Linked DNA regions of Mus musculus. The protein of the gene in region 7 purifies or fractionates together with the protein of the main gene of each other region. This does not show direct contact. Links are inferred from orthologs where the notes say so. Each region holds a gene or a part of one and is shown on either strand. Other genes may lie near its edges.

Region 1 (4,093 bases), on a different chromosome or scaffold from region 7:
ACTAATATACAGTAAACGCCTACTGAGGCTGCCCATGTCCAGGCCCAGGAGAAGGGCTGCGTGGATACTTACAATCATGTCCTCATGAGAGGTGTCCACAGTGTTCATTACTGACACCTAGAACCAAAGACATTCTGTGAATTCATCGACAGCAGCCACCAGTCATCTCATTAAAGCACCAATTGCTTCTAAAGTTCTTACGGGCATTCACTCATTCATTCACTAGCACGCTCATTCTATAAACGCTTTCTTTTTATTTTTCGTGTGACTGGCTCTCATCATGTAGTTCAGTCTTGCGTTGAACTCAGTATCCTCCTGCTTCAGCCTCCCAAATGCCAGGATTACATATGTGCATTTTTACTTCCGGCTGAGGATCTTCTTGGCATTAAGCCCCGTGTAAAGGACTGCACAGTGTGGAGCCGCAGCTCTTGCCTCAGAGGAGCTCGCGTGTGAACAACCTACCAGTAGCCACATCAGCCATACTGCGGTTTGTGTGGGCAGAAAGAGCCCAGGATGAAGGGGATACACAGCTGCCTTAAGGGATGAAAACCTTGTTGCTCAGAGAGAAGATATGATCCAAGCACGAAAGGTTAGCATGGGCAAAGACAGTCAGTGGGACCAAGCTGGGACAGAGTTCACGCTCCCTTTCTGCATCGCAAGCGATTCTGATGGCCCAGACAGTTTATGTGAAACAAGTTATATAAGTCAAGACAAGGATTTGGCTTTAGTTACCTCTGAGGTTACTCTCTGGCCTACTATGAACCGTGAAAGGCCCATCTAGTTTTTCACCTTGTGGGACCCAGGTCTGATAGTCTGTAGAGGCCAAAAACAGTTGTGATGGACACCAGCGATTTCTCCATTTGATTTAAATCAGCCTCCCTTGATCCCCAACTAGCTAAACTCTTACATACACAACAGCCATGACAGCTATAGAGCTTGATGCTACTTCTCTGCTAGAGAAGGTAAGCTCCTTGAAACTATCTGTAGCTTTGATGCATTCGCTGTCTGTCTTAGTAAATAGGTCTAGCTGCCTAGAACTCACTGCATAGACCAGGCTGCCTCCAGCCCTGGGATTTATCTGCTTCTGCCTTGAGTGCTCGGACTAAAGGTAGGCACCATCACACACCTCAGCTTTGAATCTCTTTAAGTTATTTAGCACAATGTTTTTTACAGATAGAAAGAACTTAGTAACTACCTACTGAGTTAATAAAAGAGCAAAGACACACATCTTTTTTTTTTTCTTCTCTCATCCACTATTAAATTCTTGGGAGAGAAAAGTGGATTGAAAAGGTAGCTTCCATTTGAGACTGACATTTCTCACCATTTCCAACAAGTCACCTTTCCCAGTGCAAACTTTGCAATTACAAAGCCTGACTCCTCAAGGCAGGTGTGGTGTTGCAGATCCTTAACACTCTGGAGGATCAAGAGGGTGGATCAAGAATTCTCCAACAGCCTGGGCTATTTTTTCAGAAAGGTAGACCCTGGGAGAGTACGGCGGCAAGGCATTCAGAAGGCACACACTGAATAAGTAAGTGTGTTTCCTTGAGAATCTTAAATGCTCTGAAAAGTGTCGGCAAAGATTAGAGAAAGAGGAGCAGCACCTGCCTGGAGACAATGACATTTTCCCGTGAGCATTGGAGAGGCACCAGGAGCAATCAATTATAGTCAACAGAAAAACTAATCAATTTAAGGTGGCAGTGAAGAAAACACCCTTACCAAAACCACACTGCTGGCAACAATCTTATCTACTAATCCTCTAACCCCCTCCCCCAACACACACCAATATAAGGTGGGTGATGTGACCAAGAATTCCCCACAATCCCAACTGGCTCAAGGAAAAGTAATTTTCTATTGGTGACCCACAGGACTTTGGAAAGCTGGCATCCTTATGACCATTCTTAACCAGCAGCCATGGGTTATGATCCACACTTTGGGATGCTATGTATTTTAAAGCTCTTGGAGCAGTCCTCCGGAGCATCTTATAAGGACACTTATGCGCTTGCTGGAACACAGTAAGAAGCTGCACTCAAAACAGTTCAGCTCATCAGAATCACACCAGGTACAAACTTAGAATGAACCTGTGTATGAGTCTCCAACTTGGCAACAAAAGAGCCAAAGGCCAACAGAAGGAGGCAGCTCCTTGCACCGCTGCGCCAACCAGGGTCTAAGACTTCCAGAGTTTCATTCCCTTAGTATTATACGGAGTGGGGTGCGGTGAAAGACATACCACAGAGGCCATGTAAATTCAAAAATAAGAAACAGAAATAAAAAGCTGAGACGATGCCCTGGAGTCACTCAGCTAGGCCTGTCATCAGTTTCCCGAAGGGACCATCACACATGGGAGTCCTGTGTCCAAGCAACTGATCCCTCCACCTCCTTTGCTGAGGTAGTGGGTGGCAGGGCGAATGATGAGGAGAATTTGGATCTTAGCTTGCCACTGCCTAGCCCAAGTGTTGATGATAGTAGCATCTGCTCCGCAGGCTACGCGCAGGCAGAGGATGTGAGCGATCGTGGGAACGCACTAAGGGCTTGTCAGGCAGTAGATCCTATGATAGCTTTGGCTGTTTTTCCAATTCTGGAGGACAAGACACGAGACGGGCAGGAGGTGGGCTCGCAGCCCGGGCCTATGAGTTCCGGAAGGCCCAGTGGCCTTGCCTTAAATTCCCGCTCCGAGACCCAGAGAGAGGCAGGACAAGCAAACTTTGAGGACGTAGAGGTGGTCTGTCTCAAAGCCACGACTATCGCAGGGATCGCGACACTTACCATAGCTGCAGCAGCGGCGACCCACGGCCTCGGACGTGGCAGCTCAAAACGCTTCACTTCCGGTGCCGGCCCGCAGCCGGCAGGCTGTCACCCAGGATCTTCCGGTCAGCAACACACTCGACTCACACAAAGGTTCCGCGTCTTCTGGATCCTCGGCCCCGCCCTCCTGCAGTTCTGCCTTTATCTTGGCTACTGTTGGGCTCTGGTTGCTGTGGCGACCCTAATCCAGGGATTTTATGATTTGAAGCCGTCGCTAGCAGGTTTTTTATTTAGACTAAGTTTTTTCTGGTTCCTGAGATGCATACATAAAATGACTAGTCATTATAGCTTCACTCTCCTTTTCTGCGGGTTCCGGGTCCCACTGGCTTATCATGACCATCGTAGAGGTTAATTTCTCAAGTAGACTGGGCTAGTGCTTTGTTAGGTCTTGCTTAAGTTTCTTTCCATTTAATTTGATGTTGACTATTGGCTTGCTGTATATTGCCTTATTATGTTTAGGTATGGTCCTTGTATCCATAATCCCTTTAAGACTTTTAACATGAAGGGGTATTGGATATTGTTAAGGGCTTTTTCATCATCTAATGAGATGATCATGTGGGCTTTTTTCAGTTTGTTTATATGGTAAATTACGTTGATGGATAAAGCAATTCCACTAAATTCAGGGACAAGACAAGGCTGACCACTCTCTCACTATCTATTCAACATAGTACTTGAAGTTCTACCTAGAACAAAAAGACAATTAAATGAGATCAAGGGGATACAAATTGAAACGGAAGAAGTCAAAGCTTCATTGTTAGTTGATATGATAGTATACAAAAATGCACCAGCTTTCTTAAGGGATGGCAAGCAGAGAGTCTCAAGTCCCTGGGAGTCTGACTGTTTCAAGGGAGAACAACTGGAACCTCCCCAAACTCTTGTTTTTAGCTTTGGTGCTTACACAGCACTGAAAGGGGAACACAGAGCCCCAGGGCAGCTCCTCAGATGCACGTGGTCACATTTCCCCACCACACTTAGAAGCCAAGTGGCCCAGAGTAGAACCTCCACTCCCATTAGCTAAATCCTTTGCTGGGCAGTGGTGGCGCATGCCTTTAATCCCAGCACTTGGGAGGCAGAAGCAGGCAGATTTCTGAATTGAAGGCCAGCCTGGTCTACAGAGTGAGTTCCAGGACAGCCAGGGCTCTACAGAGAAACCCTGTCTTGAAAAAAAAAATCTTTCTGGTCGTATGTTGAAACTGGGATTGAATACCTTGGCTGAAGATAGCTACCAGCAAGATGCCAAGACTCAAGGAGTGTGAAGGCTTTTTGGAGAGGGGCCTGGAGAGTGGCAGCC
Region 2 (3,500 bases), on a different chromosome or scaffold from region 7:
GAACGTTGGTTTACCAGAAGAAAGCCCTCGAATTTCTGCTGCTCCTTCTGATACTCACGAGATTCATGTAAAAATATTACTTTTTTAATGCTTTCTAAATTTTAGTATAGTTGGGCTTTAAAGTTGCTCATTTAAACTTAATCTGCTCATTTGACAACAACATTTTTAAGATCTCAAAAAATAAGTATAAATGTTTTGTGGCATATAAAATAACACAAACTTTAAGAGATTAGTTTTTATGTAAAATCAAAAGATTATATTAAGGCACAATTAACATAATATTAATTAATATTAGCAGTTTTGTTGTTGCTCATTTGCTTTAAAATGGAAGGGATTTTTGTTTTGTTTTTTAACTACTTGAGACGTATTAACTGCTTGAGACATTTAGACATCATTTGTAATAAGTGAATATAGTAAACAGGATCTCCCTGCATATCTGTGGGAGAGAGACACTAGAAAAAGAATTCTTTTAGTACTTCATAGGACTTTCTGCTTTTCTACAGTCTTATCAAATCCCTTTCACGAGTAAGGGAAATTTGAGTAAATGGAGTTAGGAATAACTCTTAATAACTCTTCTAACTCATAAAAATCAAATTGTATGGAATTTGGGGAGTTTATTAATTCATAAATTCATCCACATTCATCTTTTTAAGATTCTCCCCCTGAAATAAATGGCACTAAATTTCCTATTTCTAAAGTTTGGAGGCAACAAATCCATGGGAGTAGGTAATGGGACTCCTCACTTCTAGGTTGGGTCCAGTCTGCCAGTTCACTATTTGGGGAGTGGGAAAATGTCTTTGTCTAGGTGGGTGATAATGTCTACCTTCTTGGTCAGGAGATCTCTCTGTTACTCTCTACCTCCTCCTTTTTCTCCCCTTCCCTTACCAAAAGGTAAATGCAAGGACCATTCCTTCTTCCACCAAACCCTTGCAAGAGAGGTACTGAACTTGAAAGCCTTAGGAATTTCATGGTTTATGCAGCCCCAGCAAAGGGAAGAAGATTGAGTCTAGCCCAAGGGAGCTTATGTAGGTGAATTGTTCTTCAACCTTACGGGGATCATGCTGTTTAGAAAGTGTGGATAGTTAGGTAATTTGGGGATTATTGTTTGGGGTTATTTCCTTTTCTCTAAGTTTTTTTCTTGGTAAAAGAATAAGTCTTTAATTTTCTTAGAATTGTTAGCATAATGATTTTCAAGATTTTGTTAATGCTGTCTTTTTAGCTAAGAAAATGTGGGATTTCTAGTTTAATTCCATCCATAATATGTGTAGTTATTTTGATTGAGGTTTCATTTCTTAAATGGATGTTTCATGACATAAGTCAAGTGTAGTTTGTATTTTAAAATGGACACACAAAGAGTAAGATGTCGTTAAAATTCTGTGTGCTTTAGATCAAAATGAACTTTATAATTCATTAACTAGTTTCTTTACCTTTAACTCATTTTAGCTAATTGGATGTGAAAATCTTGAAGTTCAAAATTCAGAAGAGGAGGCCAAGAATCTTTCATTTGATGAGTTGTATCCCTTAGGGGCAGAGAAACTTGAGTATAATCTCAGTACTATTGAGCAGCAGTTTTGTGACTTGCCTGATGACAAAGACTCTGCTGAATGTGATGCTGCTGAAGTAGACGGGGAACTTTTTGTGGCCCAGAGCAACTTTACCCTGATTTTAGAAGGTGAAGAAGGAGAAGCTGAGGCAAGCGACTCTGCAGCACCTAATATGTTACCGAAAGCGACCAAGGAAAAACCTGTGTGCCACAGGGAACCCCATAATCAGGAGCGCGTTACAGATTTGCCATCTGCTGTGACTGCTGACCAAGAATCCCACAAGGTAGAGACTTTACCGTATGTGCCTGAACCGGTTAAAGTGGCAATTGCAGAAAATCTGTTGGATGTAATTAAAGACACCAGAAGTAAGGAAGCAACTCCCGTGGCAGCAGGTGAGGCTGGTGATGAGGACGGAGCAGTGATAGTCTCAAAGGCTGCACATTCGTCCAGGCTGACAAACTCTACACCGAAGACTGTTAAGGAACCACATGCAGAGACTGTAAATACCAGCCAGAATGATGACATGGTTTCTTCTAGAACTCTCACAAGAAGGCAGCATGCCCTAAGCCTGAATGTCACATCAGAACAAGAGCCTTCAGCAGTTGCCACTCCTAAGAAGAGAACTAGAAAAATTAAAGAAACTCCTGAGTCTTCTGAAAGGACCTGTTCTGACCTAAAAGTAGCACCTGAGAACCAACTGACAGCTCAGAGTCCTCCCGCTCCTAGGAGAGGAAAGAAGAAGGACGTTAGCCAAGGCACACTGCCAAGTTCTGGTGCTGTGGAGCCGGAGCCGGAACCTCAGGGTACGCCGGGAAGACTGAGGCTGAGAACGCAGCCACCCGAGCCAGCAGCTGAAGAAACTCCTTCTAGAACAAAAGTCAGGCTTTCATCTGTTAGAAAGGGAACCCCTAGAAGACTTAAGAAGTCTGTAGAAAATGGGCAAAGTACAGAAATTCTAGATGATCTCAAAGGGAGTGAGGCAGCAAGTCATGACGGGACTGTCACAGAGCTGAGGAATGCCAATTTAGAAGATACTCAGAATATGGAGTATAAACAAGATGAACACAGTGACCAGCAACTGCCTCTAAAACGAAAGAGGGTCAGAGAGAGAGAAGTTAGTGTGTCAAGTGTGACAGAAGAGCCAAAGCTTGACTCATCCCAGTTGCCTCTTCAGACAGGACTCGATGTACCTGCCACCCCTAGGAAACGTGGTAGACCCAGGAAGGTAGTTCCCTTAGAAGCTGATGGTGGCACAACTGGTAAGGAACAGACAAGTCCTCAGAAGAAAGATGTTCCGGTTGTCCGGAGATCTACACGGAACACCCCAGCTAGAAATGTGAGTACTTTAGAAAAATCAGTTTTAGTGCCAAATAAGGAAGCTGCTCTAGTGGTGACATCTAAGAGGAGACCTACAAAGAAGTCTGCAGAGGAAAGCTCAAAAGATCCATCAGCGGCAGTCTCAGACCTGGCGGGTGGAGCAGCCCACACAGAGTCCGCTGACCGAAGGGACGGACTGCTTGCCGCCGCTGCTCTCACGCCATCTGCCCAGGGCACAAGGACTAGGTCTAGAAGGACCATGTTGTTGACGGACATTTCTGAACCCAAAACTGAGCCTTTATTTCCTCCTCCTTCAGTGAAGGTTCCAAAGAAAAAATCAAAAGGTATTTAGTTTTATTCATTTTTATCTTTCTTAGAATACAGAGCCTAAAATTTTGAGGGTTTTGTTGTTGTTGTTGTTGTTGTTTTAGTTAATTATTTAGTTAATTTCCTTAAAGAAAAATTGTGATTAAGACAGAACACCTACTCCCAAAAAACCCAAACCACCAGATAAAATTGACAAAAAGGTTTGTTTCCAGGTTGATGTTCAAATTGACGATTACCCAGATGCTCTATGGCTTTGTGTCCCACAGTCCATTTGACACAGGTCTATCTTGTTCTCTTTCCTCTCTGTCTTTA
Region 3 (3,500 bases), on a different chromosome or scaffold from region 7:
CCGCCACTCCCAATAAGCATACTAAAAAGGGCCAACCTGGGCTATATACAGTGAGTTCTGGCTGGCTTAGGTTATAGGGTAAGGCACAAATAAAAAACTCCAAAGTTCCATGCTCAATGCATTTAACACAGCTCAAGCTGGCCTCAAATTCCTGATCCTTCTGCCTCGTTTCCCCAGTGCTAGGATTATATGTGTGCCACCATGATTTCTTTCTTTAGTTTTGAACATAGTCAGGCTGTCCTGGAACTCACAGATATATATGCTTGCCTCTGCCTCTCAAGCACTGCGGTTAAAGTATGGTCCTTTGAAGTCGCTGCTCTAAGTGCCAATGAAAAGAAAAGCTAGACAGTGGCTTAGGGAGTTGTAGGTACCTGCTGAATACGGTGGAGCATTTCAATCACTCGAATATAATCCAGGTAAACGAGCCCAGATGTTTCCCAGTCCTGGATGAGGCTGCTGCGCTCTGGAGGTGCCAGATCTTCTAAGAATCCTTTCAGGTAGTCATAGTTCTCATTAATAATGGCATCTGAAGAAATAAAACATTGACTTCAGTGTACAAAGGTGTGATTCACAACAGTGTAGAAGAACAGACAAAAATCTAAGGCGGGCAGGAAGGACAAAGAATGTTGTTTCTCAAAATTTCAAGGCAGATGTTGTCAAAGTCGAAAAGGCACAGGTGAGGAACTCCTGGCTTCTGGCTGCTGAGCAACTATTTCTGGTGTTCTTGGTTAACATTTCTACAAGTGAGCAGAGCTTAGTGAACAATAAGAACATTTGTGTTAACTACAACAGTGCTATCTTTCCCCACCTCACAGACCCTTGCTTAGAACAAGTCTCTTCGCAGTCTTCATCTCTTCATAGAAAATCAGACTAAGCCTGCTGTGTCCTGAACTGAATGCTATCTCTGCTTGAACTACCACGAAGGTTCACAGGTTCACAGGTGTAACTCGGCCGCATAGCAGCATTACCTGGTGGTTTGCACTCACCAGAAGCTAGGTGACGAATGACTAGTTTGTGGCAGCGGTTCCAGTGACCAGCTTTAAATAAATAGAGGGCCTCCAAGTGCTTATTGGATTCCATGTGTGCTCGAACTGCTTTGGCCTCATGAATCCACTCAGCAGGCACACAAAGCTTCTGTGTGAGGAACGCCTCCTTAGCCCAAGACTCAGGGGTCTCTGACAGTTGGCAGTGCCTTGTCAGCAGCTCTCGAACAGCCTTCTCACGCATGCTGTGGGGAAGACAGAGACTAGCATAAGCATCATTCCTGGTCTGGAGAAGGCTATGGTGGACAGTAAGATGGTCCCCTGGGCAGTTACTCAAAGGGGCAATCTTATCTTTAGAGGACCACTTCAAACAAAACAAACCACAAAGTCTAATCTCAAATATTATTGTTTCTAATTATGTGTAAATGTGTGTGTTGGTACGTATGTGCACATGACTATAGGTCCCTTTGGAGGTCACAGGTGTTGGATCTTCAGAGTTGGAGTCACCACAGGCAGTTGTGGGTAACCCAACACAGGTGCTGAGAACTGAACTCAGATCCCATGGAAAAGAAGCCAAGTGCTCTTAACTGATGAGCCATCTCTCCAGGCCCTTTGAGATTTATCACATGGCTGTATCTAACAGATGTTCTAAGCCAGTGGTTCTCAACCCTCCTAACGCTGCAACACATGTTGTTATGACCCCCTAAGCATAAAATTATTTTTGTTGCTGCTTCATAATTTTTCTACTGTTATGAACCATAATGTAAGTCTCTGTGTTTTCAGATAGTCTTAGGTGACCCTGTGAAAGGGTCCTTTGACTCCCAAAGGGATTAAGATCCACAAATTGAGAAGCACTGTAAGCAATCACTTACTGAACTGGACCTGAACAGCAATCCTTAGGTACTGCCCTGAGGTGCTGGATATTCCCAGCGGGTTCAATGACTTTCACTCACCCCGAGTTGTCAATGTGTAGGAAGACAAAGATGGCCCACTCCCAGAGTCCTTCACTTTCCAGTTGGCCAGCATAACTGGCCTGTAGCACACCTTCACACTGTTCTGAGAGATGGGTATAGTTAAGAGCACGTAGCACTTCCCAAAGGTGCCAGCTCAGGCGGTAGTCCAAAGGATCTGCAGTTATGCTTCGAGGTTCTAATAGCTGATTGAGCTCATAATGTCTGAGGAGAACAAAGTACTCAGTCAGGATACTCGGCAGGCAGGTCACCTGTACTGAACAGGTTATTTGAGACAGGGTTTCTCTGTAATAACAAAGCCCTGGCTATCCTGGAATTTGATCTATAGACGAGAGTGGCCGTAAACTCACAGATCCACTTCCACCTGCCTCCTGAAGGCTGGGATTAAAAATATGAGCTACAAGACGGGCGGTGGAGGCGCACGCCTTTAATCCCAGCACTTGGGAGGCAGAGACAGGCAAATTTCTGAGTTCGAGGCCAGCCTGGTCTACAAAGTGAGTTCCAGGACAGCCAGGGCTACACAGAGAAACCCTGTCTCGAAAAAACAAAAAAATAAAAAGAGCTACTAAGCAGCCCATTCTCTTTCTTAGTAAGAGCTTATTTCATGGACAATATTATAATCCTAACTCATGGGAGAGTGAATTCTAGGCCGGTCTATTTAGACACAAAATCTCAAACCACCAAAGTAAAGAAAAATATATAATATATACAACATACAGAGAGTACCTCTACATATACCAAATTCTGAAGAGGACATCTAGCAATTAGAAATTTTATACATCACCAGTGAAAATGTAAAATAATAAGCATTCTTGTTACATTGCCCAGGGGACTGAAACTTTTGGGCTTTTGTGAACCATTCTCACCTCAGTCTCCCAAGACCTGGCTTAAGGCAGTGAGTTTTGTAAATATCCACAGCAATTTTATCCCTAACAGCCAAACCAACAATATCTACCCACCTGCAAAGCAGGATGTAAATTATGCAAAAATCTGCAGTGTCAAAACAAGTATCTACCCCAGACCAACTTTGGCTGTTCACATTAACACGGATAAATCTTACCATCATGCTGAGTGAAAAGACGACAGGCACAAAAGAATACAAATGATCTTAACTATGTAAATTCCTGTAACAACAATATTAATTTAGAGTAACAATCCTGCCCTAAAAGTTTAAGACTGAGGATTAATCCCTGAATCGCTTTAGGAAGTTTCTGTTGTGACAGAATCGTGTGCACTGTGTTGACAGTTTGCTGCGATTTTCCTATCCCACTGCATCCTTATTTATCTCAAGGATTGATTGAAGTGATTACCACCCTGGGCCTTGTTTACCTGTCACTGTAGAGTTTTAGAAGATGAAAGCAAACATCTTGAAGTGGTCTCCGGGAGTCTTTTTCTTCCTCTACCATACAGCCGCAGCCCTCCAGGTAAGAAGGAAGAGGGGAGCAGGCATATTTATCACCCTCAGGAGTATTCTGAAAAGGAAGAATTTACAAAAGCATTATAACAGCTCTTTTCAATTAGTAGTATCATGGCTCAATCATTAAGA
Region 4 (3,500 bases), on a different chromosome or scaffold from region 7:
TTTCTTTCCAGGTGAAGAGGACAACTCTAGTGGACAGCAGAACCTCTGTTACTGATGTGAAATTTGCTCCCAAACATATGGGTCTGATGTTGGCCACCTGTTCAGCAGATGGTATAGTAAGGGTCTACGAGGCTCCCGATGTGATGAACCTCAGCCAGTGGTCTCTGCAGCACGAGGTCTCGTGTAAGCTGTGCTGCAGCTGCATTTCCTGGAACCCTTCCAGGTAAGCGCGGCCTTCTAAAGTGGCCAGGGCAGGTTGCAAGCTAAGAATTTACTGCTTGAATTTCTCAGATGCTTTTTGTAATTAGATAATATTATCCAGAAGACAGTTTCCACTTTCCTAGCTCCATAAAATGGAGGAACCCATTCATTATCAACCGTTTGGTGAGAACTTCTGACAAATTTTCTATGTATATAAAAATAAGTTAGGATATTTTTCGGAGACAGCTCTGTGCAAATAACCAGATACATACCAACCCAAGAAGACAGACTATACTCAGTCATGCATAGAACTCAGCCATTTTCCTCAAGGATCTTTTTCTCACAGAAAAATACTTTGTGATCATTTCTTCACATTTTAGTATATAATTTATTTTAAAGCATCCAATTAGTGAATCCCTTAATCAATTAATTAATGTACTGATTGGAAAGATCCTTATCTTATTGACTATGCTGGTATAGAACTTGCTGTGTAACCAGCCAGCTCTGGTGTTGAACTTTCCTGCTTCACCCTCTTGAGTGTTGGTCATCATGTCTGTCCCTTCGTTATTCCTGTTTATCAATTTTTTTTTTTTTTTTTTGGTTGTTCAAGACAGGGTTTCTCTGTGTAGCCCTGGCTGTCCTGGAACTAACTCTGTAGACCAGGCTGGCCTCGAAACTTAGAAATCCGCCTGCCTCTGCCTCTGCCTCCCGAGTGCTGGGGTTAAAGGCATGCTCCACCACCGCCCAGTCCATGATTGCTTTTTATTTATTATTTATTTTAATTACTTGGTAAGAAAATATGCAAATAACTAGAAGAGTAGAAATCAAACCCGAAAGTTCTCTTTTCTGAAAGGAAATGCTGTCAGTAGCTTATAGTCTAGCTTTTAATTCTGGTAGCCACTGTTACATACTAGATGATTATTCTTGCTCTCTTAGATTTTAACTGTTTATATGCACTGATAGCGGAATATGACTGGTATATATGTTATTTGTGGTAATCTTTAGTTGTTATGCTGGTAACTGAAGTTTTAAATTTATCTGTACTTAGTGATTAGTTCTTAGATTATATGATTCCTCTTTTAAATTTTTAAAAACGTAAAGAATTTTTATTTTATGTATATCGGTATTTCTCCTGTTTATGTCTTTACACTGCCATCACGCAGTGTCTGTGGAAGCCAGAGAGGGCTTTAGACTCTCTGGAACTGGAGTAGTAGACCACCGAGAGCCACCATGTATGTGGTGCTGGGAGTCAAACCCAGGTCTTCTGGAAGAGCAGCCAGTGCTCTTAACCTGGTTGCCATCTATATAGTCTCAATGATTCCTCTCTTACAAAGGAGAAAATTAGCCAAGTGATGGTGGTGCAAGCATCTAATCCCAGCACTCCGGTGGCAGAGGCAGAAGTAGAGGGGCAGAGGCAGAGAGGCAGAGGCAGGTGGATTTCTGAGTTTGAGGCCAGCCTGGTCTACAGTGTGAGTTCCAGGACAGCCAGGGCTACACAGAGAAATTCTGTCTTGATAACCTGGAAGAGGCGAGAGATGTAGAGAATGAATGAGCTTATTTTGCCCCTGTTTCATGCTGAGACTTCTTTCTATTCAATTCTGTTACATTGTTATAAATACATGATGAATATTTATAATGTTTGGGTTCTATAAATATTAACATGGGTATAGATATTTTGTCTGTGAGCTCTAGTTGACTCTGAACCTTAGCAGCCAGGTTATGTGAATATTTATTATAGATATACTCTCTCACCATAGTTCTTTGTAGCTTATCAAGTTTTCTGTTTAGATTAGTGGATCTAATTATGTGATGCTTTAGTAACAAAGCTCTAGTTTAGTTTTTTCCCAGTGTTAACTGTTGGAATGCCCTTGTTTAGAAGAAGCGCTTCTTGAGAAGCAGTCGTGAGGGACAGTGTGTGAGGTGCTCACACAAACATGTAGTGCGGCAGGGCTGTGGTGAACATCCAGATGTGATGGGGAGGCCAGGCACTTGTAGGTTGTCTGTCTCCTGGAGTCCAGGTCTGAATCCTGTTAAGCCAGCAGCTTATTGTATTACATAAGTGTTTGCCTTCCTTCCTAGCTCTCGTGCTCATCCCCCCATGATCGCTGTGGGAAGTGATGATAGCAGTCCAAATTCAATGGCCAAGGTTCAGATTTTTGAATACAATGAAAATACCAGGTCAGTACTGCTTTGTTCCAAATTGTGTTTACGTCTTAAACGGCTGTCCTTTATTGTCTGCGTTGTACGGGATTCACTGTTACCTGATTCACTGTTTCCTGAGAGATTCCAAGTTCTGTGCTATTTATACTTGGTGGTTTTTTTTCCAAGACAGGGTTTCTACATAAATAAAATCTTTTTTTTAAAGATTATTTACTTATTTTATGTATATATGAGTACACTGTAGCTGTCTTTAGACACACCAGAAGAGGGCATCAGATCTCATTATGGGTGGTTGTGAGCCACCATGTAGTTGTTGGGAATTGAACTCAGGACCTCTGGAGGAGCAGTCAGTGCTCTTAACGGATGAACCTTTTTTCCAGTCCAAACCGAGACTTTATTTTAGATAAGTTTTGATTAAGTATTTTAAGATACACTTAAATTGTAAAGGAGCAGACTGGGCCTTATTTTGGTTCTTGGGCCAATCCGACAGAATTTTTTTCTTTACCTATTAGTGATCTGTCCATGGAGGCCAGAGCTCTGAAATCCAGTTGTTGGCCTGGCTGTGCTCTTTCTTGGCTGTGCTCTTTGCTGGCTCTTCCAGCGATTGAGCCCAGAATCCTGGGCTGTGGCAGCCATTCTAGGCATCTCCCCTGCTTTGTATTTTTTCACTCTGTTTTTTCTTAGAAACATTTACTTTGTGTAGCCCTGACTGTCCTGGAACTTACTCGGGAGACTACGCTAGCCTCAAACTTGGAGATCCACTTACCTCTGCTACCCTAATGCTGGGATTAAAGGCGTGGGCTACCACTGCCCTGTTTATCCTGTTTTGTCTTATCTAAGGGCATTGAATTTTAGAGTCAGTCCTACTCTAGTGATAATGAATAAGGAATAGATAAATAAAAAACTTTTTTTTTTTTTGGAATAAGGTTATTCCAGTTTGGGCCTATGAGTTAAGTCATTTGGGGGCCACTATTGAGTGCCCCCAAAAGGCAAGCATTTTCTGAGAAACATTGAGATATGTTGATGAACTTTTTCACGTTTCTGACATTTAAAAGAAAAAATTAGTTATTCATTTATTTTGAAATGTACATAGTTCTGGTGGGCCTGGAGCTCATAGAAGGTTTTCCTGCCTCTCTGCC
Region 5 (4,258 bases), on a different chromosome or scaffold from region 7:
TGGAACACGAGGAACGGCACAGTTGTACTGAACTCCACCAGAATGTGATCTGTCTTCTCTATGTGCTCATAAAAGGAAAAAGCCTCTTGTTTTTCCTTACACAGTTTGGAAATAAGACCCGAGGATCAGCAAGGACAAGCGTTTGAATGATACAAACATTCTTCTCATTTCCCTGCCTCTCCTTGTTGTCTGCCTTCTTCATCTTTCCTTTTTCTGATTTTTCTCCCCTATTGATTTCCCCTGGTGTTTCCTAACTGAACTTGAACTGCAGGTAGATATATCTGTCAGTATTTGACAATGAGATTCTATGTCCACATCTGTTAACACAGCAATGAGGGAAGCTCAAGCCTACCTCTGGTCGCTTGCGTTTTCAACACGTAAGTGGTCCACATTGGAGAAAGTTTTTAATAAGTCTTTCTTAAGCCAAGGCCACATTATTTGCCTGACGCATGACTTATGATTCTGACAGTCTAGCAGAACTTAGGCCAAGGGTCATAGAAATATAGTCCTGTAAATATTATTTTGGTACACCATAATAGCAGAAACGAAACTCTGGGAAGATGGGGTGGTGTTGAGCCTTCAGTGCCGAATGCTTCCTATGTGGACCCTAGGTTTTCCGTGAGGAACCATGTAATAAGTCTCTTGGAAGCGATTTCTCTTGGATGATTAAATATGAGGGTATAACTGCCACTGCTGCTCATACTAACCACAAAATACACATATATGGATTACCATGTGCCGAATGTATTCTGGGAACTTTATGTGCACTCACACACTACCCCTCACAAACCAAATTAGGTTTCCCGAATCTCCACTCTTAAAGGGATTCAATCATATTCCTTACCTTCAGAGAAGAGCGGTTCAGTATCTAACCAAGTTTAGCCATTCGAAACTAAGTGTCTAGGTTCTCAGGTTACACAGACCTCAGAGAGAGCTATGATGAACGCCAGCTGTAAATGTAATCCTATATGGTTATATGAATATCTGCTGCAGATACACAAGGTGTGAAAGTAAGCTAATAGGAAAGCTGAACATTATCTATGAAAGCTAGGAATTTCTTGGAAGATAATTGTTTAGCCTTTCAGTATCACCTTGTTTCCTATGACAGAATGATGTGGGGAAATCTGAAGTGTATCTAATACATAGAAATACATGTGTGCTCAGTTATGTTGGACTTTATCAGAATACACCTCTACGAATCATTGGTGAAAGAAGACCTTCATTGTTTTTACATCTATCATCTATATAATGTATACACATGTCTCAACAATTAGTAACGGGAATTCCCTGTAGATCTTCAAAAAATTTTTTTTTCTTGTATTAAAAGCAACATACTTTTAAGTTCAGCTTTGGTTTGTACACATTACTGATAAAGTATCTCTACTGTCACTCCGTATAGTTTGTGGACTAACCTGAAACGTACACATGCCAACAACCACATAATTACTGCCGCCATATGCAATCAGGTTTCCTGAATCTCCACTCTCAAAGGGATTAAATTCTACCACGTGCACATAATCTTCGCAATCCACGGTGTACGCAGCATTTCTTGTAGCATCTTGCTTCATCTTGTATCCCAAAGCTGGAGCAGTTGTAAGAATCAAATAGTTGTTTATTGCCTGTCAGGAAACTGTGGATCACAAACAAAATTTACAAAGTGTTTGTCATTCAACAGAAGAATCATAATGGGGCTTGGTATAGCAATGTCAGAGCCAGCTCAAAAGAGAAGTCTGCTTATATTAACACACACATGAATAAATTTAATACAAATAGAGTCCTAAGATTATTAAGCAATAGAGATGCAGCACTATTTGTAGTTGGAAAGTTGTACTGACACTGTCATATGCAAGAGTACCATAAACGCCGGTACTACCAATAGTCCCTTCTTTGCCTATGAAGAAATTTGCCAAGTTCGTCAACAGGTTGAGGATTTAAAAGATTTAGCATGTGTTGGGCCTACATGCTAGAGAAAACACAAATACACACACCTGCCTATCTCAGGACTATGCTACATTATTTGTTCGAATTATATGACCTTTAACATTCTAATTTGACAGACCACCTGAACTATCAAGGGTCCGATGAACTGGAAAGTCCCACCCCTGCCTAAAGACACATGGAGTCCAAGAGCCTTGAAGGATAATATCAGGTAGCAATAGTTATAACCAACCATTACCCATGCAATAAAATAAGGAGATTAAAAAATACAGGCTCTGGAGTAATGTGTGATACTAACGTTATTAACACCTGTCACAATCCTCAACTAATTTGTCTCGAGACAGGTAGTGTGTACTGTAGAAATAGCATTCTCACGTGCAAATTAATTTTTACTTTGTTGTTAATGAAAAGGAGGCACCCTAGGCTAAGAAAGAACACGTAAAATCCTGAGTTATCTGCTGAGTTTTTTCAGATTAAGTCCCATCTCAGAGAGACTGGACACATGTTACGCGGGACCGGCAGGTGAGAAGACCATAGAGCAGAGAGGTATAAGGCATGCAGGGGACTTGAGGTCCGGATTTGATGGCAACCCCTGACCTCCAGGTCTTTAAAGCCCTGGGTCAATATTCCCAGGGTCCCTGGAGTTGTGTCCCCCACGCGTCGCCCGAGAAAACCCACTCCCACCTCGCGAGGTCACAAGGAAGAGCTCTGGAGAACAGGGAAGCGCCCCTGGGGAAGCAGCACAAGCTGGCGATCCCCGGTCACCGCACTCGATACGCACCTAAAGCAGGGGAGGCGACCTGGGCAAGGCTCTCCCGACCATAGGTGGCCAGGGCGTGCGCCCGCTCTGCTTCCGGGTCGGAGGGCGAGCGCGGCGATTGGTTCCCAGGTCGTGCCGCGAGATTTGAAAGGGACGCCGAGGCGATTCAAACCTCTGCCTTCCGGCGTCCTGGCTGCGCTGCTCCTCCCTCCGCTTGCACCCAGCCTGGGTCACTGGACGAGGTGGGTCTGGTCTCTTCTGTGCCCCCGGGTCGCAGTTCCAGTGGGCATTCGGGCTGCTGCTCTGCGAACGCATCTCGGTGACAGCGACGTGCCAGCCAGTGGCGTTGTCTGCGCAGTGGCTTCGCCCCGACTTCACGGTGTCCCGTGGAAAAAAAGACGCTAGGGCTTCGGCAAGACCGAAACCCATCAAAATCTTCTTTTAGTCCGTTAGATCGGGGATCTGGCACACGACGAGTGCAGGCTTCTCAGATTTTCTGTCGTTGCATCCTTCAGAGGGCCATTCCGGACCAGGCAAGAAGAATAACTGTCACCTGTCATCTTTTAATGGAGATTTGCTAAGTGCTGGCAATAAGGAGGTTGGCTATTTCCTTCACTGGTGCCTTATAATTCTGTTAAGTAGTCCCAATTATGGACGTGGAGAAATTTGTGGTAATCACGAGGTACAGCTAATGCAGGGGTGTGGTGGCAGGGATAGTTAGCTAAGTGTGGTGCTCTCTCACTTTACCTTCCAGCGACAACTACCTGTCTCAGATTTTCTGCTCCAGTGCACTTTGAATCCAGTTTAAAAGCAAGAGTTTATTCCCTCTGACACCTTCTGTTTTGTTCATATCCAGCGTCTCATCGAGTCTTCACAACAGGCTGGGAGGTAGAACAGAGGGGGCGGCATAGTCCTGATTGCTTTGTGACCATTCTTATACCTGGGCAGCCAGATCTAAAGTTAGGTAACCCTGGAAAAGCTGGAACTACAGTGGATATTGGCATGCCAGCCCAGATGCCTGTTGGTGAATAGCCAGATCTAGAACTAAACATGGTTTTACATGTTTAAATGGTTGATGGAAAAAAAAAATATTTCAGGCAAACTAATCATATCACCCATAGCTCATGCTTTTGTGTCTTCTTCAATTTTGTTTTTTAAGAGATAAATAGGAGATAACCTAGGTGCTCATCAGAGAATTGTGAGTGAGGCCTGGGGAGGTGGCTCACTGGATAAAGCGCCTGGACAGCTATGAGGACTGGAATCCAAATCCCCAGGGCTAACGGAGACACTGGTGTAGTAGTCTGCTTGCAACCCCAGTGTGCTAGAGGTGTAGACAAGTGATGCCGGGGCAAGTCAACAAGGTGGAGAGCAGTGGAGAAGACACTCAGTGTCAACCTTGGGCCTCCATACACATGTGCTTACATAAAGGCGAACATATACACACAGCAGACTTGTAAAAAGAGACACAGAGAAGACTGGAAGTAGAGAGGGGACTGATTCCATAGCATGGCTGCCTAGAATACAGACACATCTAGGCTTATTTTGAAAGGGTTCTGTATG
Region 6 (4,073 bases), on a different chromosome or scaffold from region 7:
GTATCGAAAAACAAACACACACACACACACACACACACACACACACACACAAAACAGAAAAAAAAAAACCCAACCAACAAACAAACAAAAAAATAAAGACAGACAGACTAAGGGCTGGTGAGATGGCTCAGCAGTTAAGAGCACTGACTGCTCTTCCAGAGGTCCTGAGTTCAATTCCCAGCAACCACATGGTGGCTCCCAACCATCTGTAATGGGATTTGATGACCTCTTCTGGTGTGTCTGAAGACAGTGACAGTTTACTCACATACATGCAATCTTTTTTAAAAAGTTAATTATAAAATTTATTTTATTGTATATATACTGGTGTTTTGTGTATGTCTGTGTACTACATGTGTGTGCCTGGTTCCACAGAGGCCAGAAGAGGGCATCAGATTGCCTGGGACTGTTCCACATGTATGTGAGTGCTTTGAATTGATCCAGGTTCCCCGGGAAGAACAGCGTATGCTCTTAACCACTGAGCCAACACTCTAGCTCCCTAAATCACTGATGATTAGGATTTGGATAAAAATTTGACAGAAAGGTTTTCCTTTATTTCCTTAAAGTTTGTGGGAGTTTGGTTTTTGAGTCTGGGTCTCAGTTAGCCCCGATGCGAGCTCAACCTTGCCATGTAGCTAAGGCTGGTTCTGAACTCCCGATTTTTCAGTCTCTACTTCCCAAGTGCTGCATCTTCCGGCTTATGTTACTATGCCCTACTTCCAAGTCATGTATGACCACCAATTTAAGGTAGAAATAGTTCAGAATAATCCTAAAGAAAGAAAAGTTGCCAGTACATAAAAGATTGAAGTCCCGTTGTTTACGGATGTCATGTGTCCGAGACTAATTCCAAAATAAGCGCATTATACTGGTCGGAGTTCGGAAAAGGGACTGAGAATATTCTAATAACAGACCAGGAGGGAGGGATCACAACTACCGCTAAGAGATAAAGTAGGATTACAGAGACGGAGTAGCTCTCCAATCGAAATAGATGCGCCAGCACGCTTCTGCGCATGCGCACACCCTCCCAGCCACCGCCTCTCCCGCCATCTCCGGGGACCTTTCCCTCACCTAGTGTGGGACTGTCTGTGGCGCCGCCTGATCTACTGGGAACATTCCTTGAGGACCCGTGGGCCCTAGAGCCGTTTTCATGATGTGTTGTATAGGTTAGAATAGTGGAACATGTGTGAAAGGCTTCAAGGGGCTGTGTTTGGCTAAGACGAAGGGATCTGTTGCGCTAAGGTCTGCAGGCGCTGCGCAAGCCGCCCTGGAGGGGGTCCTCTTTGGCAGCTGTCTGTGAGCGGGAGGCCTGAGCGCAGAGAAGCGGCCGCGCGGCAGGGTCCCAGCCGCGGGGGGCACGGCGCTATGGAGGAGCTCGACTGCGAGCCCGCAGTAACTGTAAGGGCGATCGGAGTGGAGTGGCTTGGCTTGTTGCACTGTGAGGGTTACGTTTCTTTGGTCATTTCAGGCTGCCTCCCTACATGCGGGACGCACGCTTCTTCCCTGGACACAGTTGCCACCATCCCGAATGTCAGGTTAACTGGGAACTAGGTTATGGCAATAGTGGTCCCTAGGTCCTGTGAATACTGGCCGGCTCGCGGAAACCCCACTGCATCACCCTTGTTTTTATAACCTTTCTGCTTCTCTAGTTTTCCCCCCTTGGGCGTTAGAATGAGATTGGTGTAAGCCCCACATGGTCACTCCAAGGGATGAGTTGGCCTTTCCCTGTCCTGCTGTCCTAGTCCGAGGCTTAATAAATGCATAATTTGTTCTCACGGGAGACAATAGACTAGTTTCTGTCGCGTTGTATTCTATTCCTCTTGCACCTAGAAAATGTTTTTTTAAGTGTGTATATGTCTGAATATGTGCACAGCATCATTGGATACGACCTAGGCTGTTCGCCTGGTGTATGGTGTTCGCAGTTACACTTGGAAGTTGAATGGACAGTTGTAGGGCTAACAGCTCCTGTGCCTCCTTATGTCTTACTAGTGGATTCCAGGTGTGAATTCCAAGAAGAAGCAAATGTGTTTTGACTGGGGCCCCGGCGAGATGCTTCTGTGTGAAACTTCCTTCAACCAAACAGGTAGGCAGTTCTTTTTCACATCTGTCTTGGCACATTGGTTGACTCTCTGAGGCAGGAAACTGGAGTTATTTGGCAATATTTTTATTTTTGAAACTTTGTTTTTTTGCTATTTTGAGACAAGTTGCCCCTATGTAGTCCTAGTGGGCTTGTCTTTGTGCAATCTTTGTGTAGGTTTGAATTCTACATCTTCTTCCCTCGACTTCCAGAGTGCTGGGACTTGAGGTGTGTGGTTCAACACTTGACATTAAGTAATTTTTAAATTTTATAGTCTGTGTATGGGCATTTTGTCTACGTGCATAACTGTGCACCACTCCGTGCTTGGTGCCGCAGAGGCCAAATGAGATCATTGGATTCTAGGAACTAGAACTCTATATTTATGTGAGTTGCCATATGGGGTGTTGGGAGTTGAACTTAGGTCTTCTGGAAGAGCTGCCTGTGTACTTCTTGTTTGGTTTTGGTTTTTTGAGATGGTTTCTCCGTGTAGCCTGGCTGTCCTGGTACTTGGTTTAGACCAAGCTGGCTTTGAACTCAGAAATTACTTGCTCTTTTTTCCTGAGTGTTAGGATTAAAGGCAGGAAATTTCAGCCAGTTGTCTTAGACGCCAAACCATCTCTTCAGCCCCCTTCCTATAATTAACCTTTAGAAACGACCCATATAGCCCAGGTGTGGAGATACGCACCTTTTAATCCCAGCACTCAGGAGACAGAGAGGCAGGTGGTTCTGTGAGTTCACAGCCTGCCTGATCTACAGAATGAGTTTTAGGTCAACCAGGGCTACACAGAGAAATCTTGTCTTGAGAAACCCAACAAAAACAAGCCCAAAGAAGTGAGTTAGACTGCCTCAGCTGAAGGCAAAGTCCTGGGTTCAGGCAACGCTCGCTTGCAACCTTAGATTTTCTACTGTGCAGAAGAGTTGGCGGGGGGAATAGAGAGTCCCCAGCTGCCTGGGATATGTTGCCAGACCCATTCTCAAAAACCAAGGATGTAGGCTATCACTCAGTGGCTCAGTGATAACTTCTTTAGCATGGGCAGTGTCCTTAATTAGATCATCAATATCACCAAAAAAGAAGTCTGTGTTGTGCTGCCTGCTTGTATTGTAATCTCAGCCTACACAGACCAGATGAAGACAAATCTTTTTTTCTTTTGGCGTAAACCTGGTTTGCTTGGCCGACTGTGTGCACTAGTCTTCCCTTGAGTTTTAATCCTCCCGTCTCATTCCCACCGGTGGAGAAAGTGGACATGTGCCCCAGGCTCAGCCGGGCTTTGTAATTAGAGAATTAGAAGTACTGGGATGTTTTTCTCTTTTGGGGAAAATGGTAGATGTTGAGTTACTTTTTTTCCTGTTTTGTTACAGGCAAATCAGAGAAGGTGCCGAGCTGCCCTTTTATCTACATCATACGGAAAGATGTGGATGTTTACTCTCAAATTTTGAGAAAACTCTTCAATGAATCCCATGGAATCTTTGTTGGCCTGCAAAAAATTGAGGAAGAACTGTCGGGGAAGTCCAGGAAAGCTCAGTAAGTGGTGGGTGCTGAGGCTGCAGTGAAGTCGTGAGAGGGAGGCGTCCTTATCCTTGTGAGTGCCGGGGCACCTCGGGGTTCCTGTTCTCCTGTGTATCTTCTTAGGGTGTAGTTGTGCATTGTGTAAATGCTGTTGGAAGACTTACTGGCTTGATATATATGTATCAACTCTTCCTTTTGGATTCCTACTTCATTTGTATGTGTCCCTTGAACACCACCACCGACCAAAATAAAAATAATATAAATATGGTGAAAGGAAGACTCAGACAGAGAAGCCCTTGAATTAGATCTCACTCTTGAAAGAGTTAAAAACGAGGCTGACAGATCTTTAAGAGCTGGTAGTCAGCAGAGTGAGTTCCAGGCCGCCCAGAGCTGCAGAAGCGAGACCCTGTCTTAATATGAAAGAAATACAGGCGTCAGCAGACAAGGCAAATGGAAAAGAAAGACTTGCTTCTCAAGCTTGTGTTTTTGACAAGG
Region 7 (4,124 bases):
GGGCAGAGATGACTCCTCCCTTCCATGTTCTCTCTCCCCCTACCCCCTCCCACTGTATTTACTTCTGATATGCCTAACAACCTTGTGTCCATAATGGTCTCTCAGGTAATTGGGTTTGTTTGTTGGCATTTGAGACAGTGTCTCATGTAGCCCAGGGTGGCTTTGAACAACTTCTGGTCCTACAGAGATTATAGGTGTGTGCAGCCACACCTGGCTCAAGTAGCTACTTCTAAATGCTTTTCTTTTTTTTTCCGAGTTCAATTCCCAGCACCCATGCTAGGTGGCGCACAACCCCCCTGTAACTAACTTCAGAGTCCAATGCCCTCCTTCTGGCTTTCTGAGCTCTTAAAAGATCAAAACTGCCCCAAGGAACTCGATGCCTCTATCAGCAGGAAGTAGTCTACGGATATCGAAGCCCCCTTTTCCTCTAGCCTTCTTTCTCCTACCTAGTGTTGGGGGGTTGAGAGGGAGACAAGTGGTAGAAATAGGAACCCATAAAGTGGTCAAAAGTCTGGCTACAATGTTGTCTAAGTGGGACACAATGAAAAAACCGAAAAGGAAAGGCCACCCGAAGTAACAAGGGACCTCACAAGTTCAGCAAGGGTCCCTGGGCAGTTATCAGCCCTGAATATTTACAAACTCTAGTACAGCCTCGGGCTAATCTCAGTTCACTGTTTAGTAATGTGGGGAGCAGAATGGAAAAGACACCCCCATACACACACTACGGTCTTCCGAAACAGCCGCAGAGGACTAACAGAACTGTGTGCACGCCTGCTATCGGCTTCTACTAGGGTCTGGAACTTCAGGGGCAGCGATGAGAGTGAACATGCCCGGGGACTGGGGGCACTGTCATTTCCGAATCTCCGGCAGTAGGACAGACCCATCAAAATGCAAGCTGTGCCTGGAAAGCAAAAAGCTGCAACCCGCTGCAGAGCCCAGACAATCGAACGAAGAACAAGCCTGAACCGATCTGAATTAGGTTGGGAAAAACTGTGAGCACACCACCGCCGCCCAGAGCGCGACTTCCTCAGCTCCGCCCACGGGCGCCTCCTTCCCCAGCCCACGCTCGCCGCGGAGGGTCAGCTCCAGCCGGAGACCGGCGCTTCTGGCAAGCTCTCGGTCCGGAGCACTGGATCCACCGCGGTGAATCGGGTCGCAGGACTCCAAATCGCCTGCCCCGCCCCTCCCCGGTACTGGATGTGACGTCAACAAAGCGCTCCCAGTTCCGACCTTGCCCCGAGTCTCGGCGCCGATCTTTGACGTCATTGCCATGCGCCTTCCCCTCCCTACTCGCTGAGCGCCCCCTTACGTCATCTCTAGGCGCCTTCCCGCCCCTCAGGTGTTCAAGCTCCGGGCGCGCGAGGTTCTCGCTATTAGCCCGCGAGTGCCGCTTCCTCCACGCTCTCTGCAAACATGTTTCCGAGCGTCTCCTCTCCGCGAACCCCAGGGCCGGGGACCCGACGCGGTCCGCTAGTCGGGATCGGGCCCACGTCCACGCCTAGAGCGAGCAGGAGGGGTCTGTCTCTGGGATCTGCGGTTAACTCGCCCGTGCTGTTCTCGCCCGCAGGCCGGCGCAGCTCGGTGAGCTCACGGTAAGTGGGGGTTCGGGGACCAGCGGGGTCCGCTCCACAGCGGGGAGGTGGAGCCTGGCAGTGGGGTAAGCTGCCGCAGAGTTCGAAAGTACTTCTGGTCATTCTCGCGTTTTATTGTCGCTGCTTAATGGTGGCCCTCGTTTTGCCCGTTCTCTGTTTAACTCTTTATTGGACCCATGGATTCACTCTGTCTCCGCGCTACAGAAAAGAATGAAAGAACCTTTTGAGCACTACGCTTGCAAGGTAGGAACATACTTCAGATTATTGTAAAGATTAAAAAGTCATTTCTTTATTATGTTGACACAGGTCAGTGTCGGGCTGCTGTTTGTTTAAAGTTGTGGTTTGACTCTGTGGCGTTTGACACGAGTAACATTTGGTCTGGTGTAGTCTTTTTGTGATATAGTGTAGGAATGCAGCCTGGAACTCAGTCCTGTCCACTTTGGGACAGCCCATGCTACGTACCCTAGGCTGACTTTGCTCAATCCACTTTTAAGATTCTTCTATTTCAAGCATGCAGTAGCTTGTCTGGCTACCATCATTTTGTTTAACACTTCCAGCTTTAAGTCAGGATCTCAGCATCTCAGGATTCAGTACACCTATCTGAGTCATGGTAAGAGCCTACAAACCTGGCAAAAATGTTTTCTCAGTGCCTAGCAAATGCTTATTACTACATACTGATTGGCAGTTAAAGGACTTGGGCCACAAAATGTGATGGTTGTGACTAGGTTACATAAAAGCACTTTGTGTGTGTGTGTGTGTGTGTGTGTGTGTGTGAGAGAGAGAGAGAGAGAGCGTGCTTCACTAAAGATGCTGGTGTGCTGCCAAGTCCACATGTATAGTAGAATTGTTACCCTCCTCAATGTAATTAACACGAAAATTCAGAATTGGGTTACCTTTTTCTAGAAGAATTTCTTCTGTTCATCTTTCAAAAGTGAATTTCTGGGATGGAAAGATGGCTCTGGGGATAAGAGCACTTGCTTTTCGATATCTATCTATCTATCATACAATCATATATATATATATACACATATATACACACACACACATATATGTATATATGATGGGTTAAAAAGATAGTAAGATGCATATATGTTCTGATACATCATTTTTGCTCAAAACAAACAAAAAAACCAGTAAATTAATCTCAAAAGTACCTGACAACTATTGCCTTAAAATTATTTTAAAAGGTATTGCTGGACATGGTAGTACACAACTTAAAATCCTAGCACATGGAAAGCTAAGGTAGGAGGACCCTGGATCAGAGCTAGTCTTGGCTATATAGTTCCAAAGCAACCAGAGACACACAGTGATGTGTGTGTGTGTGTGTGTGTGTGTGTGTGTGTGTATGTTTGTGTGTATGTTTGTGTGTGTGTGTGTGTGTGTGTGTGTATCTTAAGTGAATTTTTTTCTGCATGAAAACAGGAAATACTGAGTCTAACAGAGACTTATGATTAAAATGTATGAACCTACAAGTCTTGTGATAATTCAGAGAGTAACTGTGATGCTGAGAGCACACGTGGGACCCTTGTTTTTGTTTGCTTGTTTTTTGAGACAGGGTTCTGGAACTTACTGTGTAGACCAGGCTAACCTCAGGCAGATATCACAGAGATCTGCCTCCTCTCTGTGCCTGGCTTTCACTTTATTGTTTAAGAAGAACCCTTCACAGTACTGACCTCAGAGGCAGAGGTGTACTCACTTCTAATTTCTGAACTCAGATGACTCAGGCATGGTGGTTAGTTTTTTGTGAACACAAACTAGAATCATCTGAGTAGGGGGGAGCCCAATTAAGAAACCCCCACCCCCACTCCTGAGATGACACAGTGGTTAAGAGCACTGACTGCTCTTTCAGAGGTCCTGAGTTCAATTCCCATCATCCACGTTGTATCAGCAACAGCTTACTCATATATATAAAATAAATAAATCTTTAAAGAAAAGAAAATGCCCCCATAGGCTTGCCTTCAGGGGTGATTTTCATGATTGGTGATTGATGTAAAAGGGCCTGACTCACTGGGCAGTGCCACCCATTGGCAAGTGGCCCTGGAGTGTATAAGAAAGTAAACTGAGCAAGCCAGTAAAGACCATTTATCCATGGCCCCTGCTTCAGTTCCCGCCTCCAGTTTCCCGCCATGACTCCCTTGGTGATGGGCAGTGACCTGGAAATATAAGATCAAATAAACTCTTTCCTCCTCAAGTTGCTTTTGCTCATGGTCTTATATCATAGCAATTTCAATAAATTCTATTGAAAAGTGCAGTCAGTTACATAGTGCACACCAGCTGGTGTCTTTCACCATTACACATCATTAGAGATAGCTCAAGTAGGTTTGTAAAGGTGAGCATAATGGGAAATTTCAAGTTATAGTTAATCCTATGTGGTCTCTTTCTTTAGAGGAACGCCTACTCGGATATTCCCCCACCATTCCATATCAGAGTCTGTGAACTACGATGTGAGAGTGTTTGGATCATCTCTCCCTGTTAAGATCATGGAAGCCCTGACAATGGCTGAGGGTAGGTGTCATCTTTTCATTTGTTCCC

Evidence for each region.
Region 1: the proteins of Nup133 (region 7) and Sec13 purify together in Homo sapiens (affinity purification with mass spectrometry; 4 studies listed by BioGRID and IntAct, counting the BioPlex papers as one, with this or other methods). This does not show direct contact. The link is inferred for Mus musculus from reciprocal best matches to the Homo sapiens genes NUP133 and SEC13.
Region 2: the proteins of Nup133 (region 7) and Ahctf1 purify together in Homo sapiens (affinity purification with western blotting; 3 studies listed by BioGRID, with this or other methods). This does not show direct contact. The link is inferred for Mus musculus from reciprocal best matches to the Homo sapiens genes NUP133 and AHCTF1.
Region 3: the proteins of Nup133 (region 7) and Nup98 purify together in Homo sapiens (affinity purification with mass spectrometry; 6 studies listed by BioGRID and IntAct, with this or other methods). This does not show direct contact. The link is inferred for Mus musculus from reciprocal best matches to the Homo sapiens genes NUP133 and NUP98.
Region 4: the proteins of Nup133 (region 7) and Seh1l purify together in Homo sapiens (affinity purification with mass spectrometry; 4 studies listed by BioGRID and IntAct, with this or other methods). This does not show direct contact. The link is inferred for Mus musculus from reciprocal best matches to the Homo sapiens genes NUP133 and SEH1L.
Region 5: the proteins of Nup133 (region 7) and Nup37 purify together in Homo sapiens (affinity purification with mass spectrometry; 4 studies listed by BioGRID and IntAct, with this or other methods). This does not show direct contact. The link is inferred for Mus musculus from reciprocal best matches to the Homo sapiens genes NUP133 and NUP37.
Region 6: the proteins of Nup133 (region 7) and Nup85 purify together in Homo sapiens (affinity purification with mass spectrometry; 5 studies listed by BioGRID and IntAct, with this or other methods). This does not show direct contact. The link is inferred for Mus musculus from reciprocal best matches to the Homo sapiens genes NUP133 and NUP85.

Annotation. Positions count from the first base shown.
Region 1 is NC_000072.6:113,737,882-113,741,974, forward strand, and holds the start of Sec13 (protein SEC13 homolog), read right to left. Parts: upstream 2,801-4,093; 5' UTR 2,767-2,800; coding exon 2,764-2,766; intron 118-2,763; coding exon 73-117; intron 1-72. UniProt on the Homo sapiens protein: Functions as a component of the nuclear pore complex (NPC) and the COPII coat. At the endoplasmic reticulum, SEC13 is involved in the biogenesis of COPII-coated vesicles.
Region 2 is NC_000067.6:179,752,016-179,755,515, reverse strand, and holds part of Ahctf1 (protein ELYS), read left to right. Parts: coding exon 1-67; intron 68-1,443; coding exon 1,444-3,205; intron 3,206-3,500. UniProt on the Homo sapiens protein: Required for the assembly of a functional nuclear pore complex (NPC) on the surface of chromosomes as nuclei form at the end of mitosis. May initiate NPC assembly by binding to chromatin and recruiting the Nup107-160 subcomplex of the NPC.
Region 3 is NC_000073.6:102,123,167-102,126,666, forward strand, and holds part of Nup98 (nuclear pore complex protein Nup98-Nup96 isoform 1 precursor), read right to left. Parts: intron 3,427-3,500; coding exon 3,284-3,426; intron 2,159-3,283; coding exon 1,937-2,158; intron 1,229-1,936; coding exon 987-1,228; intron 527-986; coding exon 372-526; intron 1-371. UniProt on the Homo sapiens protein: Plays a role in the nuclear pore complex (NPC) assembly and/or maintenance. NUP98 and NUP96 are involved in the bidirectional transport across the NPC. May anchor NUP153 and TPR to the NPC.
Region 4 is NC_000084.6:67,784,876-67,788,375, forward strand, and holds part of Seh1l (nucleoporin SEH1), read left to right. Parts: intron 1-11; coding exon 12-223; intron 224-2,280; coding exon 2,281-2,379; intron 2,380-3,500. UniProt on the Homo sapiens protein: Component of the Nup107-160 subcomplex of the nuclear pore complex (NPC). The Nup107-160 subcomplex is required for the assembly of a functional NPC.
Region 5 is NC_000076.6:88,145,534-88,149,791, reverse strand, and holds the start of Nup37 (nucleoporin Nup37), read right to left. Parts: upstream 2,801-4,258; 5' UTR 2,720-2,800; exon of another isoform or gene 2,623-2,719; intron 1,631-2,622; 5' UTR 1,569-1,630; coding exon 1,413-1,568; intron 1-1,412. UniProt on the Homo sapiens protein: Component of the Nup107-160 subcomplex of the nuclear pore complex (NPC). The Nup107-160 subcomplex is required for the assembly of a functional NPC.
Region 6 is NC_000077.6:115,563,171-115,567,243, forward strand, and holds the start of Nup85 (nuclear pore complex protein Nup85), read left to right. Parts: upstream 1-1,273; 5' UTR 1,274-1,359; coding exon 1,360-1,392; exon of another isoform or gene 1,393-1,432; intron 1,433-1,983; coding exon 1,984-2,077; intron 2,078-3,430; coding exon 3,431-3,593; intron 3,594-4,073. UniProt on the Homo sapiens protein: Essential component of the nuclear pore complex (NPC) that seems to be required for NPC assembly and maintenance. As part of the NPC Nup107-160 subcomplex plays a role in RNA export and in tethering NUP96/Nup98 and NUP153 to the nucleus.
Region 7 is NC_000074.6:123,946,466-123,950,589, reverse strand, and holds the start of Nup133 (nuclear pore complex protein Nup133), read left to right. Parts: upstream 1-1,324; 5' UTR 1,325-1,413; coding exon 1,414-1,592; intron 1,593-3,978; coding exon 3,979-4,097; intron 4,098-4,124. UniProt on the Homo sapiens protein: Involved in poly(A)+ RNA transport. Involved in nephrogenesis.